2 linked regions of the Lepisosteus oculatus genome follow. The protein of the gene in region 1 purifies or fractionates together with the protein of each later gene. This does not show direct contact. Links are inferred from orthologs where the notes say so. Each region holds a gene or a part of one and is shown in the gene's direction. Other genes may lie near its edges.

Region 1 (7,946 bases):
TTCCAGAAAAACAAACCTAATGTAAAACTGTAAAGAATAAATTCCTAAATTGATAAATAAATCTCAGGATTACAGTGAAAAAATGGTTGGTGAAAACTGAAGTATCTCTCACCATGTTGTTCTTATGTCTGAAGAAAAATGTTTGGAAGTGAACAGTTTCTTAAACTGACCTTGTTAGTGTTACTTACTATTTTAGTTTGCCTATCGCTCTCTCTAGAGAGAAATCATTTACAGCTGTGTTTTTTTTTTAAATGGAACATTAAGACATTATATAAAATATATACCCTCTTTATATACTGTACATCTTTTAATTTTTTTTTCCTGTTGAATGAAAGCAACTGTCCAAGAAGTAACCATTTATAAACAACAGCTCCCTCTGTTGGTTATCATGATGACAAATTGCGATAATCTTTTAAACAGACATCTTGCAAAAAAGATTCCACTTCTCTTGAGATGGAAATTATATCTATTGGTTGAGGAAGCTGCATTTTGAGTTAGTTTAAAATATTTTAAACCAGAATATTGAATAAACGGATGGCACAGAGGCACAGTGGTTAGCATTGCTGCCTCTCAAACCTGGGGCCCTGGGTTCAATTCCATACCTGGGGTCATGTCTGCATGGAGTTTGTATGTTCTTTCTATATTCACGTGGGTTTTCTCACACAGCCCAAAGACATACTGGTAGGTTAACTGGCTTCTGGGAAAAGTGGCCCTGGATTTAGTATGTGTTTCTGTGTGTGCTCTGTGATGGACTGGCATTCTTAAAATGAGTGACGCTACCAGAAAATAGCTGAATGGATCATATTCAAGTAAATAACATTCAATATGTGCGAGAACTAAACTACAATGACAAACAATATAAAGATACCACAGGAAATGCATACAGTTGTTCCTTGTTACACTGCCAAGACTTACAAAGGCATTAAAGGTACTGATAAACTAGGATAGGTATGATAAATGGGGCAGTTTATAGATGATGCAAGAATGTTCTAGAAGAAAATAGAAATATGAGAAGCTGGTGTTATAATAAGACAAATGAACCGCATAATAGAGATTTTGAAAAAATAGTTTGAGACAATGATTCATTAAGACACTGAAATTTACACTACAAATTCACTAAACAAATCCATTAATATTCAGTGACATAGCACAGAAGTACACAGCTTAATGACCATTTTAAATGAATACAATTTAGTGATTTACAGCATACTAAAAACTATACTGCAAAGGGATGAAAATATCCAGTTCCATACAAAATGTAGGGTGCAGTACAGAGCAACATGGTCTTGTGAACATTTATAAATGACTCACCGAGTTTGAAGTAAAAAAATCCTGCAAGCAATATATTTAAAAAAATAAATACTTTGGAGACCATGTAGAAATTGATCAGGATAATAACAGCATGAATTCACATGGTGGTGATGATTAAGAAACATATGAAGAGCTGAGGAATATGTAATCTGGGTTTCTAATGAAAGGTTCACCTCATCTTTTATGAGCTCAGCTGCAGTTTCTTCTAAACCCAACTCATAGCACAGTCGTACAAAGACAGGTCCAAACTTGAATTCTCCAAAAGCAAAATTTCTGTTCTCATTATGGTACCTAGAAGAGAAAAAGCAAACCATAACACAGAAAAAATAAGCTCAGTTAGCTTACAAGTGTACTAAATTTTCAAGACATGATGAACCAGTATTTGTCTTATTTTTGCCATTTTGCTCTACAGTATTGTTTTTTCCTAGAAAAACAAATCAAACAACCGTGTTTAAATATCTTGTCACGTCTTAAAAGACAGGTTTGGTCAACCCAAACAAAGCTAATAAAAAGCCTTGTATATCACCTATTCTTTAGTAAGCCTTACTTGACCCCTGAAAATAAAAAACTTTCAAGTTTGCTCGGAACTGCTGACACTGAAATTGGATTTTTTTTGCCTGGGAGAGAAAAACTGCATTCCTTCATTCCTCAAAAGGACACTTTTATGTAAATGTGATGATCTGTATTATTACAACACCCATTAATTTGGAATTGTGACTCATATCAATTATAGTCATCTTATATATTTTATTTGAATTTGCGTTTGTTCAGTATATATTAACTCACATTTTCTTATGGAACTAGACAATTACACTTACCCATACAATTAAGAGGCCAATAAGATATGTTCTCTTCTTCAAACAAACTAAAATGGGGTAAATCATAAGCAGTATCATTTCCTAAATACAAAGATCCAAGTTTTGTTTTCACAATTAAGGGGTGATGTTATAGTAATTCTTTTCAATGTTTTTCTTTTCTTTGAACCTTTCCAATTAATTTGTATGCAAAAAGCACAGGTTTTCTGAGATTTTAGATGGCAGCAATCCAGTGCTACCCTTTCAGCATCTGTGATAAATAACTTTCCTCAGGCACTTACTTGTATATTACATTCTTTGCCATTTCTACATCATCCGGGGTTTGGCACAGATGCAAGAGCATTTTTAATTCATCTTTCAGAATGAGGTCATTTCGTTGTATCTTTTGTTCTAACTTCTGAAAATACTGTTCTGAAAAATAATGAAGCACAAAAAAGCAAAAGTGAATCAATTTTGTTGGATATGAGAGTGTTTCAATAAATAAGGCAACAAAAGCTCTCAAAGTGATGCATTTATGTGTAGACAGCTACAAGTATATCCAACGCTAACTCTAATTTGTGATGCGTATTCCAGCCTTGCCATGCAGGCTAGTTTTGTTGAGTGGTCGGGATATTATTGACATATCAACTCTGAAAGTCGTTAGTCACCTCACTAGTTTCCTCTCGCCCAGGTACTGAGTTCGTCCAGTTAGTGACTTGGTTTTAGAATACACCTTCAATGTCAACATTTAGTATTTTTGAAAGTTTTTACATCTTTCTCCTAAGATTTTGCACAACTTTATCCCTAAAATGTATCTCAAATCACTTTGGCTTTCATAGATGAATCTATGATTCTATGAAGTCTGAGGGATCTTTTAGAGCCTGGTGTATTTATTCTGAAATCACATGAACCATGATTACTGCACCCAGAGGCCAGTCAAATATCTGTGACTTGCCAAAGTAATATAGTGTTCACCTGAACTTATATATATATAATATAGGTTTGCCATAGCAAATAGGTGAATACTTTATATTTCACTAATATTATCATAATAAATCAATATTTTCATTTTTGTTTTTTTTCTGCACAGATTTGTTGACATTTAATGTTGTTCAGCAATAAAAGTGTCCAGCTTAAGCTTTGAAGTTCTGATTAACATGTTAACTTAGATGTGTATCCATCACTTGTAAAACAAAACAGGAATAAATGGGAGAATACTTCTGCGAGGCATTCTAATTATTGCTACTCGCCTACTGTATATTAAAATGAAATAAATTAAACAGTAAGAAATAACTATTTAAAATGCAATAATAAATTCTTATGTGTAAAAGTGTACAAAGTACAGTAGAAAGAACACCCTGCGCCAAAAGGAAAGGCAGTAACTTGGATCCAATGCAAGAAATCTTTAATCCCTGTCTGAAGATTCCTAGTATAATAGTTACCTTTATTGCCATACGTCTGGTGAGCAACTGCTATTTTTCTTTGTTGGAATTCTTGTAGTCGTATAACATCCTCTGACAATAAGTACCGTTTTGCTGCAGATATAAATTAAATTATAATACAAAAGATTAGAATGTAGTTATTTAACATTGACTACAACAATGAAAATCCTAAATAATATCTTATCAGTGATATTTGTTTAAAAAAAATCAATTTTACATTATTCAATAGTTGTTTTACTTTTTACTTTATATGGCCCAAATGTCCACTACTGACTTGACTGAAAAGATAACAAAATGGATCCAGAATGGTATATGATGTTTTTTTTCTTCTACTGCTTTTGAGCCAACTTGATTTGTGCTCTCAAATGGTGCTAGGTTTTTCTAACCTTTTTTGTGACTAAATGAATACAAGGGAGAATTTGAGAAGTTATCTAGAGAGCTGAAAAGATGGCCTAATAATGTACCTGTAGTTTGGGCATATCTGAGAACCCCAGGATAACATATGGGATAAGCAGGGTGGAAACTTTCAGAGATGTAATATTAATACTGTGAATACACAGTTGTACCACTACAGTGGGAAATACACCACATTACCCTAGATGATCAGCCTGCTACTCATCAGTTTGTCATGGTACATTTACTGTTAACAACAGAAAAAGATACACTATGCACAGTATGGCATAATTTCCAATTACGCATACAAATTGCAAAATTGGGTTGATGATTTACAAAATTACAATACAATTTGACTTGGATCTAGCTTTGAACAGTAAGACTGGGAATGCAGTCTTCTTGAATGTAAGAAAGCAGATATATCACCTACTGTCTAAGGAACACGAAAACAACTGGCAATACTAAAAATTCTTAAAATCTCTCCTACGAAACAAATTTAAATTGCGTACTCTTCAGACGTTTATCTGATACGTATATACATACGTTGAAACAATAACTGCAGTCGTACAGCAAGTTCGAGTTCAGCCAAACACACATTACACATAGTGTTAACTTAAGAGTTTCAATACCGTAAAAAGATGTAAATGACGTACCGCCTAACCTGCAAGTCCAGCATTCTGATGGTTTTAAACCAGAATGAAAAGCTTTGCGTTTGACATTGCATAATAGATTCCTTAAACAAACCCCCATCTCTCTCAACGCCATGCTGTTATGTGACTGAACCAATTATTTACAGGGGGTGACACACTTTATTTAAACGATCCGAGAAAGAAAAAAAACACATTTTACATTCAAAAACTTCGTGGATATTCATGTTTTTTATCAAATGTAGTTATTTATTTTTGATATGTACATTTCTGTAGCTGTCATGAGCCACCTATTTTTAAAAGGTCATTTACACCCTTTACGTCATCAAAAATTGCTTCATTCCAAAATGGCTGCTTCCATGTTACAACGCTGTGTTTTGTCTACAAGGTGCTTAACAAAGTATGCAACACAAAGTTTAACAGGTAATATAGGGAATTAAATCAGCTACAATGGTAGCGTTGATCTTTTTCATACTGCTTCTTATTTTAGATTTTCAATGTCAGATTATTGCTGGTAGTTGCCTAGCTGTCATAGTGACAGTCCTTTTACCAAGTAGTAAAGGCGTCTGTACCCCAGAGGTTAATAATTTATTAACTGAAGTGTTCGTTTAGGTTTTTTAATACTGGTTGATAAGGATGATAGATTTGCATGCGGTTAGGGAAAGATCAAGGATACGTGTTATTTTCTGTGTGCAATGCAGCACCAGGTAACGTTCAATGCTGTGCGATGTTCAACGCTTAGCCGTCTCTTGGACTGCCTCATTCGCCTTCATTGATGATGTAACTAGTGATGGCAGCAGTAGAATAAACTCTGAAGTTTACAGAAACATTTCTGCGTTACATTTAAAATTGGTCAGTCAACAACAATTGGTCAGACAAGTCAGTCTCCAAATTTAAATGTAACGGACCGCGTATTTTACACGATCAAGGAAAAAAGTAAATACTGTACATCGGAACATTGGCAAGAGCCCAAAGTAACTGCAACAGAACATCTCAGACATGTGCTAAAAAAATCTGGTGAGTTCAATGCGTCACCAGTTTAATGCAGTTTTTGTCAGAAAGGGATATGCAACAAAATTACTTGCACCCAATGTCTCAAATTTACTTTAGGTAACCTGAAATCTCTGTGTTGAACGCAAAATATGTTTTTGTTCTGATGTGATTGATCAGTGCAACTATCTAAAAACAAAATGTTCCAAATATTGTATTTATCATTCATATTAACCTTATGATCACAAATTGCTTAACTTTAAATGCAAAAGTAACAGCTGTGTCTTTGTTTCCCAGTACCTTTTTGAGGATACTTGTGTTATATTGTCCTTTTGTTCTTCTAGCTAGAAGATACCTTTTGTCACCGGCATACACAGATACTGCAAAATGGGAAGGGAGACGGAAAGACCCTCAAAACCTGGGTATGTTCAAGCAATGTTACACTTCCTGAAACTCAAATTAAACTTGGGTACAAAATGTAACAGATAATTAATTTTTGCTATCAATATTTCAGCTGATTTTTTCCTGCAATCCATTAAGCAAAAACATCGACCTTTGGTGCATTTTCTGTTAACATTCCATTTCTTTGTTAAATGTACAGTATCTTATGATATGAAATATAGCGTAAGATCATTGTATATTTTATTTGTAGCGATTTTACCTACAATACTGTGTCATAGCTGCAGTAAAAGACATAGGTGGAAAGGTTTTAGGATTATCCTTTACTGTACATGCATAAATAGGAGATTAAAATGAAAACAGAAGGTACAATATACGTTTCTTACAAGTTACCTTGTAATCGTATTCACTGACACATTTCATCCTAGAAAAAATATATTTTTGTTGTGAGAATGACCCTTATACATACTTGCTCTCAACCTTAATTACTTAAATTAGAAAGAAAAATTGAGGGGCTGTTTGTCCTGTCCTCTAACTTCAGCCCCATTGAAATGTTGCATAATGTGTGTGACAAGAAAGTGAAAAAGAAGAGTTTAATTAGCATAAATATAATTTAACCAGGGAGATGTCTGGAGGAAATTGATCAATGTTAAGAAAGTAACCACACACTCAGAAAATGGTTTAAAAAAATTAATCCATTTATATCTGCATAATAGACAGCACCAAGTTTGTTGAAAACGAATGGATTATTACAGAGCAAGAAAATGATGGCCAGCTTGTTCACAATAGTAAAGATCTCTTTGCCAGGACTGAGCGAGACAACACCCATTGCAAATACTTTTACATCACCATAAGTCAAAACATGTGTCAATCATCATCTCTGCATCGTTAAAATGATTTGAATGGGATATGAAGTCTTTCTTTTGCTATGTAGAACTAAATTGAAAAAAAAAATCATATAGTGCAATTTCTTTGTTGTCAACCTTAATTTTAACCAGTAGCTTTATAAGTTATACATGTAGTTGAAAATGGAATAGCCAATTATTTGTATTACTGTATATGAACGCTCAGGTTTGAATTTTCAGATCTTATGGCATCCTGCTTGCCATACTAAAAGGAATGTAAACATTTTCCGCTGTGTGCACATCTCCTGGTCACCAACAGAGGGCAGCATTGCCTTGCACAAAGGATAGATTGAAAGCACCAGTCCTGGTCCTGGAGAGCTGCTGTATCTGTGGGTTTTCATTACAGATTGGTTCTGAATAAACTAAACCAGCTGGTTATTATCTTAACTGGGCCAATTTAAGAGCTTCTCCCAGCTATCCAGGTGCTTCTGCTTTAAAACACCAATCCCACACAGTTTCCTATTTTGTAAATATTTTTAATTCTGAGTGCACTATTCTGCTTTTCTCATCTAATTTTTAATTAACTCGAGAATATCAAAATTTCCTGCAGCAGAAATGTAGACACCTGCTAAGAATTGAAGCAGTCAGTACCTGCTCATTAACCCCACACTTACTTTCAAAGTGCTATGCTAATAAAAAGGCAAAACCATAACGATAATGCCTACAAGGGTCTGATTTTGAGTTCCTTGTTGTCTTTAGCTTTCTTTATGCGATAATTAACTCACCTTTTCTCCTCTACCTATCAAAATTGGCATCATTTGCTCACCCAACAGGTTTCTCCATGATGACTGTATTGCTGTCCAAACACTATCTGACCTTCAGTTTTCTGTTTTTTTCACCAGTGAATTTCATCATTCTGTAAAATGAGGCCCTCTGCAAACATACTTAGAAGCATGGAAACAAAATGACATCACCATAAAATATTGCAATATATAATGTATGCAGCGATTCAGGAAACATGACAGACATTTTTAAGAACATTCTCCAAACTCCTGCTTCTAACACAAGCCAGGTTCGGGCTTTTCACAAGATTATTAATCTGCAAGAAAGTCCAATGTTTCACAA
Region 2 (7,696 bases), on another chromosome or scaffold:
TGGGGGGCAAGAGGTTGTGTCAAGATCTGGCCCATTTCAAGTTCTCTCCATGTATGAATTCCGCTCTTCAAAAAGAAGCTAACCAGACAATCTACAATGTTTTTTTTTGGAAAATCTGCAGATTTTTATTAACAATTAAAACATTAAATACTTCTGACCGATGCCAAAGACTTGACTAAAGGTGTCCCTATTGCTGTTATAGAGTATGAAAATCTTTGTAAAACACCACTTCACATGAAATGTCTGTCCATCGGCTGTGCTCAGCTGGACAGGATTATTCCTTTTACCTTTTCTGATCCGTTAATGATGAAATAGCCTCCCGGGTCCAGGGGACACTCATTAAGCTCACAGAGATCACGGTCTGTCAGCCCACTGAGTAAGCAGTAGGTGGAGCGCAGCATGATGGGAATCTTTCCGATGAAGGTTTTCTGGTGCTGCGTCTGCAGCTGCTCCTCCCCTTCCTTGATGATGGTTTTGGTGATGTCCACATAGAGAGGAGCAGAGTACCTGAGCCAGGAAAAAAATTTGTGAACATCAATAGATTCAGAAGATAATAATTGCTTACACTTATATAGCGCTTTTCTGGCCACTCCACTCAAAGAGCTTTACAGGTAATGAGAACTCCCCTCCACCACCACCAATGTGCAGCACCCATCTGGATGATGCAATAGCAAACATAGTGCACCAGTACACCCAGCACACACCAGCTATCAGTGGGGAGGAGAACAAAGTGATGAAGTCAGAGATAGGGATTATTAGGAGGGTATGACTGGTAAAGGCCAGGATGAAATTTGGCCAGGACAATGTGCCAAACCCCAGTGTTTTGTACGATACAAACACAGCAATGTTTTGGGTCTGACTTGAATTTCATATCAAGATAAGGAACGCAAAAGAAAGGACACATACACTCCACTAGGTTAACAGTTTATACTAGTCATTTACGTAAACTAATCACTCGTGACCAGCTGTGAAGTCGGCCACTTGCTATCCTTCGAACACCTGATGTCAGTTCATGCACACCTTCTCCAAAGGTAGTACTCTTTACTCTCTACTCATTTTTATCCGACTGACCCTTTAAACCAAACCAATTTACAATGGAACTCAAAACTGGGTATTTTTACATCCTTTTATTAATTTTCCAACAAAATTCAAATACCATCCATCATTGAAAAACAATAAGATTAAGAGAAGAAAAAAATCCACCATGAAATAGTATACAATAAAAGAAAGATAAAGATAAAAAAATTATCTCCAGTCTTCAACTAGTGACATCCATCCTGTCCTCTCCTCCACATTCAGTCATCCCCCCACCATCCACCCTAACCCCTCCTCCCTCAGTTTGGGGAACCCACAGAGGGATTCACTTTCATACTCACTGACCCTTAAGCAACAATTCTGTTAATGCCACTGGCAAATACTCTGTAACAGGTGACCATAGTTTATGATCTTCTGTTCTCCTATGGAAACTGCACTAAGCCTTCCATAGGGCAGTACACTACAACATTCACCATACCAAAATGTAACAGAGGGTGTTTTTCTTAAACCAGTTGGTTAAAATACATTCCCTTAATAAGAGAAATAAATTATCCAGAAATTGATATTGTGATGGGAGAAACGTTATTTTAGAAGGTAGACCAGAAATGAGGAGCCCAGTGTCCAACTTTATTTTAAAATGGAAAAATATCAAAGCCAGGTATTGTTATTGGAGTACTTCAGGTGAATTCCTTTGGTCAAAGGTACAAACAGCACTGTCTCAGCTGGAGTTTAACCTTCCAGTTTCAGAGACCTAACCCCTGCTGCACAATGCTGCTCTAGCTCTCAAAAAAACCCTGGTGTGAAGCACATTTCTGCAACAGCAATGGACAAAACTAAACAATGTGGGGGATCGCATCAGAATAGGGAGCAACACAACAATGTAAAGCTCAACTTACGTAAGATTTCGGAGTCTAGCTTCATTTGGCATCATAGGAGAAGGAGCTCCATCTCTCTCCCAGTGCGTAGGTTTGGAAAGATAAATCTGCTCAAACTTCAGCAGGTAACGTGGCTAGAACGAAAAGATGACAAGAGGTGATAAACATGCAAAATCCACCCATTGATTTCACAGAAATCGCCCCTACTGTGGGCAAACCGCCCCCTGCACCAATTAATCAGACGTATCTGTGCATCAATACATATCACTACACTTTCAGACTGCTTGGGGTCACATGCCGGAAAAATCTTTTCAAGCCGTCGAGAGACTCACGGGCTCCTCCACTTCTCCAGAGGTGTGCTGGGCCTCAGCCTGCAGGTCGATGGGTGGGGCATCCTCCACAATCCTCTGTACTGACATCTGGATGAACTCATCGAAAGAGTCCAGCTGCTGCCTCACCAAACCCTTTTCATCAAAATAAGAACTACGAAGACAAGAACAGGCCATCCATTACTAATACCATTCTCCCCCTTTGTGCCCCAAATGTGGAAAAAAACCTGGGCTGAATTTGCTTTGAAGATCTGCATTACAGGAGATGATCACTACTGCTTCTATAGATATAGGTCAGAATAACTGCACAGAAAGGAAGAATGCTGACTGCATCAGACAAACTGCAGCTTGCAATGTTAAGAATGACAGTGAACTATAGACTATCTTCATTAAAGCCCAACATTTCCTTCTGTTTTAGAACTTTAAATACATTCTGATTCATTACAGCCAAATCTGTGAAACCCTTTACCAGAAATGTTTTTAACTTTGTATATCTGTATCAGAAAAAAAATGTGCTTTTTTAAAAAAGCAGGATAGAACTTGACTGGACATAAACAGACAAACATATATATGAATATATAAGGGGACACACTTAAAACAAAATGAAAAACAGTTCAACTTTTGCAGTGGAGAGCCACAATCAAGTAGGTCTTATAGGTCATCCTTAAATTATATCTTTGTAAGGACCTGCAACATGTGGACTGTGATCAGTTTAGTCAGGTAACTGGTTCAACTAAATCAGGAATGACCAACCTTTAAACTGTGTAGCTTTAAAAAATGAACAAAACTGAAATTATTCATTTCAGTTCTCAAGTCTTTACAATTGTTTGTAGGAAAACTAATGGTGACATTCAAAATCTGCTGGGTTGTACGTCACTGGGACCAGGGCTGGACTTTTACAGCACAGAAGAATGTTGAAATGTGAGTATTAAGTCAAAAATAAGATCAATAAAATCAAAAGATAACCCTAAAAGGTGAAGGTGGTTAATATGTTATATTTTTTAGGCTGCTCACCTGATGACAATCCAGCAGGCTTCCTGCCACAAGTCTGGAGTGATCTCATCGTCATCTTCATCATACTGAATATCTAAACAAGACCACAGAATTGTAATATTAAGGGAGCCCCATCCACATAAAATATTATGCTCTCTTTGGACTTCCCCCTAAAAAAGTATTATTCACAGGCAGTTACCTTCTACAGGAAGAAAGCTTGCTGCATATGAAACTAACAAAGAAAGGTAAGATGGCCCTTAATGCATTTGATTTTCACAGAAACTGTTTTTACACTACATGCGTGGTAAAAAGCTTTTCAAGAGACATGGTACTTGGACCTGCTATCTCACAGCTCTGGAGACAGCGTGCCGCCTATGCAGAGTTGATCGCACTGCATGTACACATATGAATTTTCTCCAGGCACTTTGCTTCATTCCACTTCCTAAAGGCATGATCAAGGATAAAAGGAGCAAAAAATCTTTATTCTCCTCAATAACCTGCCCTCTCTGAAGCAGCTTTGTTACAATGGCGACACGAGTGTGATTGTTTGTCGAAAGACAGAACTTAGACTAATACATCAGGAGGCATCTGTTAACTTCACCGAAATTGACTTTTATAACGTTTGCTACTCTGCAACCTTTTCGAACATTAAAGAAAAGGCCACGTTTTTAATTCCTAAGGACAGTGGTACGCAAAATGAGATGTTAGAACCACCATGAACTAATTACCGTTCCTCCGATTTCATTTTCTGGCGTTTCTTGATAAAACTGAAATGCCAAAAGCTTTTTGGAAAATCACCTTCCCTATTTGGATGTAAAGCTCTCGCCTGTTGAATGCATTTCAAAATACAAATTTAGAACTCATGTGCTGAAAGTGACTGTAAATACGAACGGTTTAGACTGAGAATGTTGAAAACGAAGCACAATATTTCTAAAACAAACTTCAGGATGCACAAAATCTAAATAACAGATGTCGTTAAACGTGTCAGAGTTAATGGCACAATTCATTTTGCATTTATAAGACACCTCTGTACAATACAGACCAAAAATCAAAGAACGTACCCTGACGCCATGTTCAAAATATTGTTTAAAAAAAGAACTAAACAAACCAGATACCTACCTTCATCTTGATCATACATATTGGATTGAAGGTACTTCCTTTATTGACTCCAAAAGAAAAAAAAACACTTACAAATACGTTGAATTAAAAATAAGTGCGCTATAACCCTCTACTTCCATCCACACCACCTGAACACAACAGTACGAGATATCGATGGTGTATACGTCACTTCCTGCAGGCTTTCGTGACGTCAAACGAAACATTTTAAAATAATTGAACCACCAGAAATATGTTAATTGTAATTGATATTCTCAATAATAATACAAAGAGAATCGTGATAATAATTATTAATAATAATTTCGGATGGTTTGATGTGGTAATCATATACGTCACAGGAGTCAGAGTACTAAAAATGGAAGACTCCTAGACGCACCACATGTGTATGTTATTATTTGCCATTCAAGGTTCAACTAAGAAGAAAAAACGTAACCTTTAAAAAAATATTTCAAGTATAATTTCTTTTTTAATTATATTAAAAATGCAGAGGTTATACCGACTAAAGCAATGTGCTCCTGCTTGTTATTGCGCCCGGAATGTGTTTCCTGTATTTTTACCAACTTTGGGGGACAGACAAGGTAATCGCTGTTCATCTATTCTACGCAATTGTCCAGGACTCTGTAGAAAAGTGCCAACTTTTAAGATCTTCTGCTTGGAAGACACGTGGACGTCAGTGGCCCGCTGTTACAGCACAACGCAAGCGGCAATCGGCGACAGCGGAAAGCAGGGACGTCTTGGAAACTCTTACACATCGATTGAACCAGAAAAAGAAGAAGAATTCGTCTTTCTAGACTACTCCAACCTAGAGGAAGAGAACGATGATGGGGTTTCTTTCAAACCCCCTTCGCAGATGGGGTCTGTGGCCAATAAAGAGAGAAACGCATCGCGAAAGTCGTGTACAGAGGTGTATCACAGAGCTTTGGAAATACAGATGCGGTTATTAGAAGATACAGTGTTAGACCAGGACCAGGACGTACAAGAAATGGATATAGAATTTCATGACGCTGGCTTCCCCCTTCCTAAATTAACTTCTAAAAGGAAAAAATCTCAAAAAATATACGGCACTCCAGATAAGGAGATTCCTTTTAGTGACAACAGCTGTTCGGGATGCGGTGCTCGTATGCATTGCACTGACCCGATTTTGCCCGGTTATGTACCCAGTGAGAAATACAAACAGCTAATAAAGGAGGACAAGATGGACAGAGCGGTGTGTCAGCGATGTTTCTTGCTTGTCCATCACCAAAAGTCTTTAAATATTCAGGTTTCGAAAGAAGAATATCGGAATGTTGTTAGTCGGATACGCCAAGAAAAAGCTTTGGTATTGTTCATTGTGGACCTTCTGGATATTCCCGATTCTATCATTCCAGATCTGTTAGAACTAGTGGGCAAAAATAAAACCATAGTGGTTCTGGGAAATAAAATAGATCTGCTACCTGGCGATTCGGATTGCTATTTAAAACGAATTAAACGTCAGCTTTTTGCATATTGTGTTGACGCAGGTATTACTTTAGGCGATGGCACCAAAGACGTCCATCTCATCAGCGCCAAGACCGGCTATGGGATAGAAAACCTAATTTCGAGTCTTCAAAGATCGTGGAAATATAAAGGAGATGTGTATTTGGTTGGAACAGCAAATGCTGGAAAGTCTACACTGTTTAACACCCTGCTGGAGTCAGACTACTGCAAGTCGAAAGCTCCAGATGTGATTCAGAAAGCTACCATATCTCGATGGCCAGGTAATTATTACTGTACATTTGCCAGGCTGCAGGCCAGTGCAAAGTGAAGACCCGCTCTCTTTCGTCGTAGAAGCCTATGAAGGCACTATATAATGCAGTGAGGTTTAGCATGATTTGCAGAGAAACTGCCCATATGTCTAAGTAAAGGCCTTGCAGTGCCAAGTTCAAGTTATTAGGATATGTTTATGTGAAGTCTTTGTATGAACAGTGTAATAAACCTCAGTCTAAATCACTAGATGTTTTGATGATTGAGGAAGAAATACCTTTCGCTATTCCCTCAGCTCAGTGTATGAAAAGTATTGTTTTCCATCTGTCAAAACCTAAATTTATCCCATGTTAGGTGGTCATATTTTAGGTTGTTGCAGATGGAAGCAGACACTAACCTATCTGTTCTTCATGAGGCACCACACTAAATCTCCTGAAGTTCCCAATCATCAACCCCACTCCATATCGCATGTTCAAGAGGTCTGAGAGACTGAAGAGTGATGGCTCTCAGTCAGAGAAGGACCTGAGCCCACAGGAGTTAAGACGACTGCAGCAGCTCAGCAAGCAGGGATATTTAGTAGGTAAGAGTTCTGACTTCTATGACAGTACCAGATCAACATTTGTTCAGGCCTGAATAAATTAAAAGGAGACAGAATAAAAACCCTGTGACTAAATCTAAACTTCCCCTTAACCCTAACTTAAATGACACAGTGAAACTCTTAACTCTAACCCTATGCTCCCCTTAACTCTCAGTCCTCACTTTAACTTACATTCCAGCATCTGGTACCTTAACACAGCCTGGTTTCAAGCCCATAATTATAATAATAAACCTATTCCTGTTCCTCCATGACCCTGATTTCTTCAAGAGCCCAATGAAAGACTTCCTGTGGGGGTGGAGTTGCCACACTTGCACGGTTGACAAGGAATTTGTCTTCCCTGTTCATTTCAGGGCGAGTTGGCAGATCTTTTGGCTCGGCTGTCCAGGCGCAGAAAGATATGGATGTTGTGGATTTTGATCTAGAAAGTCTCAGTGTGGGAGAGGAGGAAGAAGACAGAATGAGTAAAAAATCAGCTCTTTCCAACCCAGTGGAGTTCACCCACAACGAGCTCAAAGATGCGCATTGGCTGTATGACACCCCGGGAATTATGAAAGAACACTGTGTGAGTGCTTTTGCTAAAACGTATTGTACGTTTAGCCAATGCAATCTTTGTGCTTAGCTGCAGAATAATTACTACATGCACCTAATATATTGAATCAGACATGAGTCATGAGTGCAGCATCATGTCAGATGTAGAGCTCTTCTCTGACTGAAACACTTACTGTCTGCTGGTGCCCATGGTCAGTTATTGCTATCCCTATTAGTTAAAATGTGCCATCTTGTAGTTGTTTTTATTCCAGGCAGACATGGGAAGCTTTAGTACTGATAAGCTTGATTATTTCCCAGAGGAAACTGATTGTCCTACACTGACTCCAGCTCCCTTTTCCATGTAGATGCCCCTCAGAACCTTATATGTGCCCATAGAGGTCGCCTCTATCAGACCCACGTACAGACTTCTTTCTTGTAGTCATCCAGAACACCAGGCAACGCGTTATAGCTCTCAGACACTATGAACTTGCAGGGGTTTG

The links. Proteins that work in one complex are often made in the same cells at the same time.
Region 2: the proteins of mrps27 (region 1) and noa1 purify together in Homo sapiens (co-immunoprecipitation; 3 studies listed by BioGRID and IntAct, counting the BioPlex papers as one, with this or other methods). This does not show direct contact. The link is inferred for Lepisosteus oculatus from reciprocal best matches to the Homo sapiens genes MRPS27 and NOA1.

What each region holds. Positions count from the first base shown.
Region 1 is NC_090698.1:24,318,045-24,325,990, reverse strand, and holds the start of mrps27 (small ribosomal subunit protein mS27), read left to right. Parts: upstream 1-4,925; 5' UTR 4,926-4,934; coding exon 4,935-5,010; intron 5,011-5,476; exon of another isoform or gene 5,477-5,604; intron 5,605-5,921; coding exon 5,922-5,999; intron 6,000-7,946. Other genes in the region: ptcd2 (pentatricopeptide repeat-containing protein 2, mitochondrial), read right to left, coding at 1,485-1,602, 2,408-2,537, 3,548-3,640, 4,570-4,705. UniProt on the Homo sapiens protein: RNA-binding component of the mitochondrial small ribosomal subunit (mt-SSU) that plays a role in mitochondrial protein synthesis. Stimulates mitochondrial mRNA translation of subunit components of the mitochondrial electron transport chain.
Region 2 is NC_090696.1:33,267,008-33,274,703, forward strand, and holds the start of noa1 (nitric oxide-associated protein 1), read left to right. Parts: upstream 1-4,693; 5' UTR 4,694-4,829; coding exon 4,830-6,084; intron 6,085-6,485; coding exon 6,486-6,650; intron 6,651-7,018; coding exon 7,019-7,230; intron 7,231-7,696. Other genes in the region: polr2b (DNA-directed RNA polymerase II subunit RPB2), read right to left, coding at 288-507, 1,932-2,044, 2,243-2,393, 3,254-3,326, 4,352-4,370. UniProt on the Homo sapiens protein: Involved in regulation of mitochondrial protein translation and respiration. Plays a role in mitochondria-mediated cell death. May act as a scaffolding protein or stabilizer of respiratory chain supercomplexes. Binds GTP.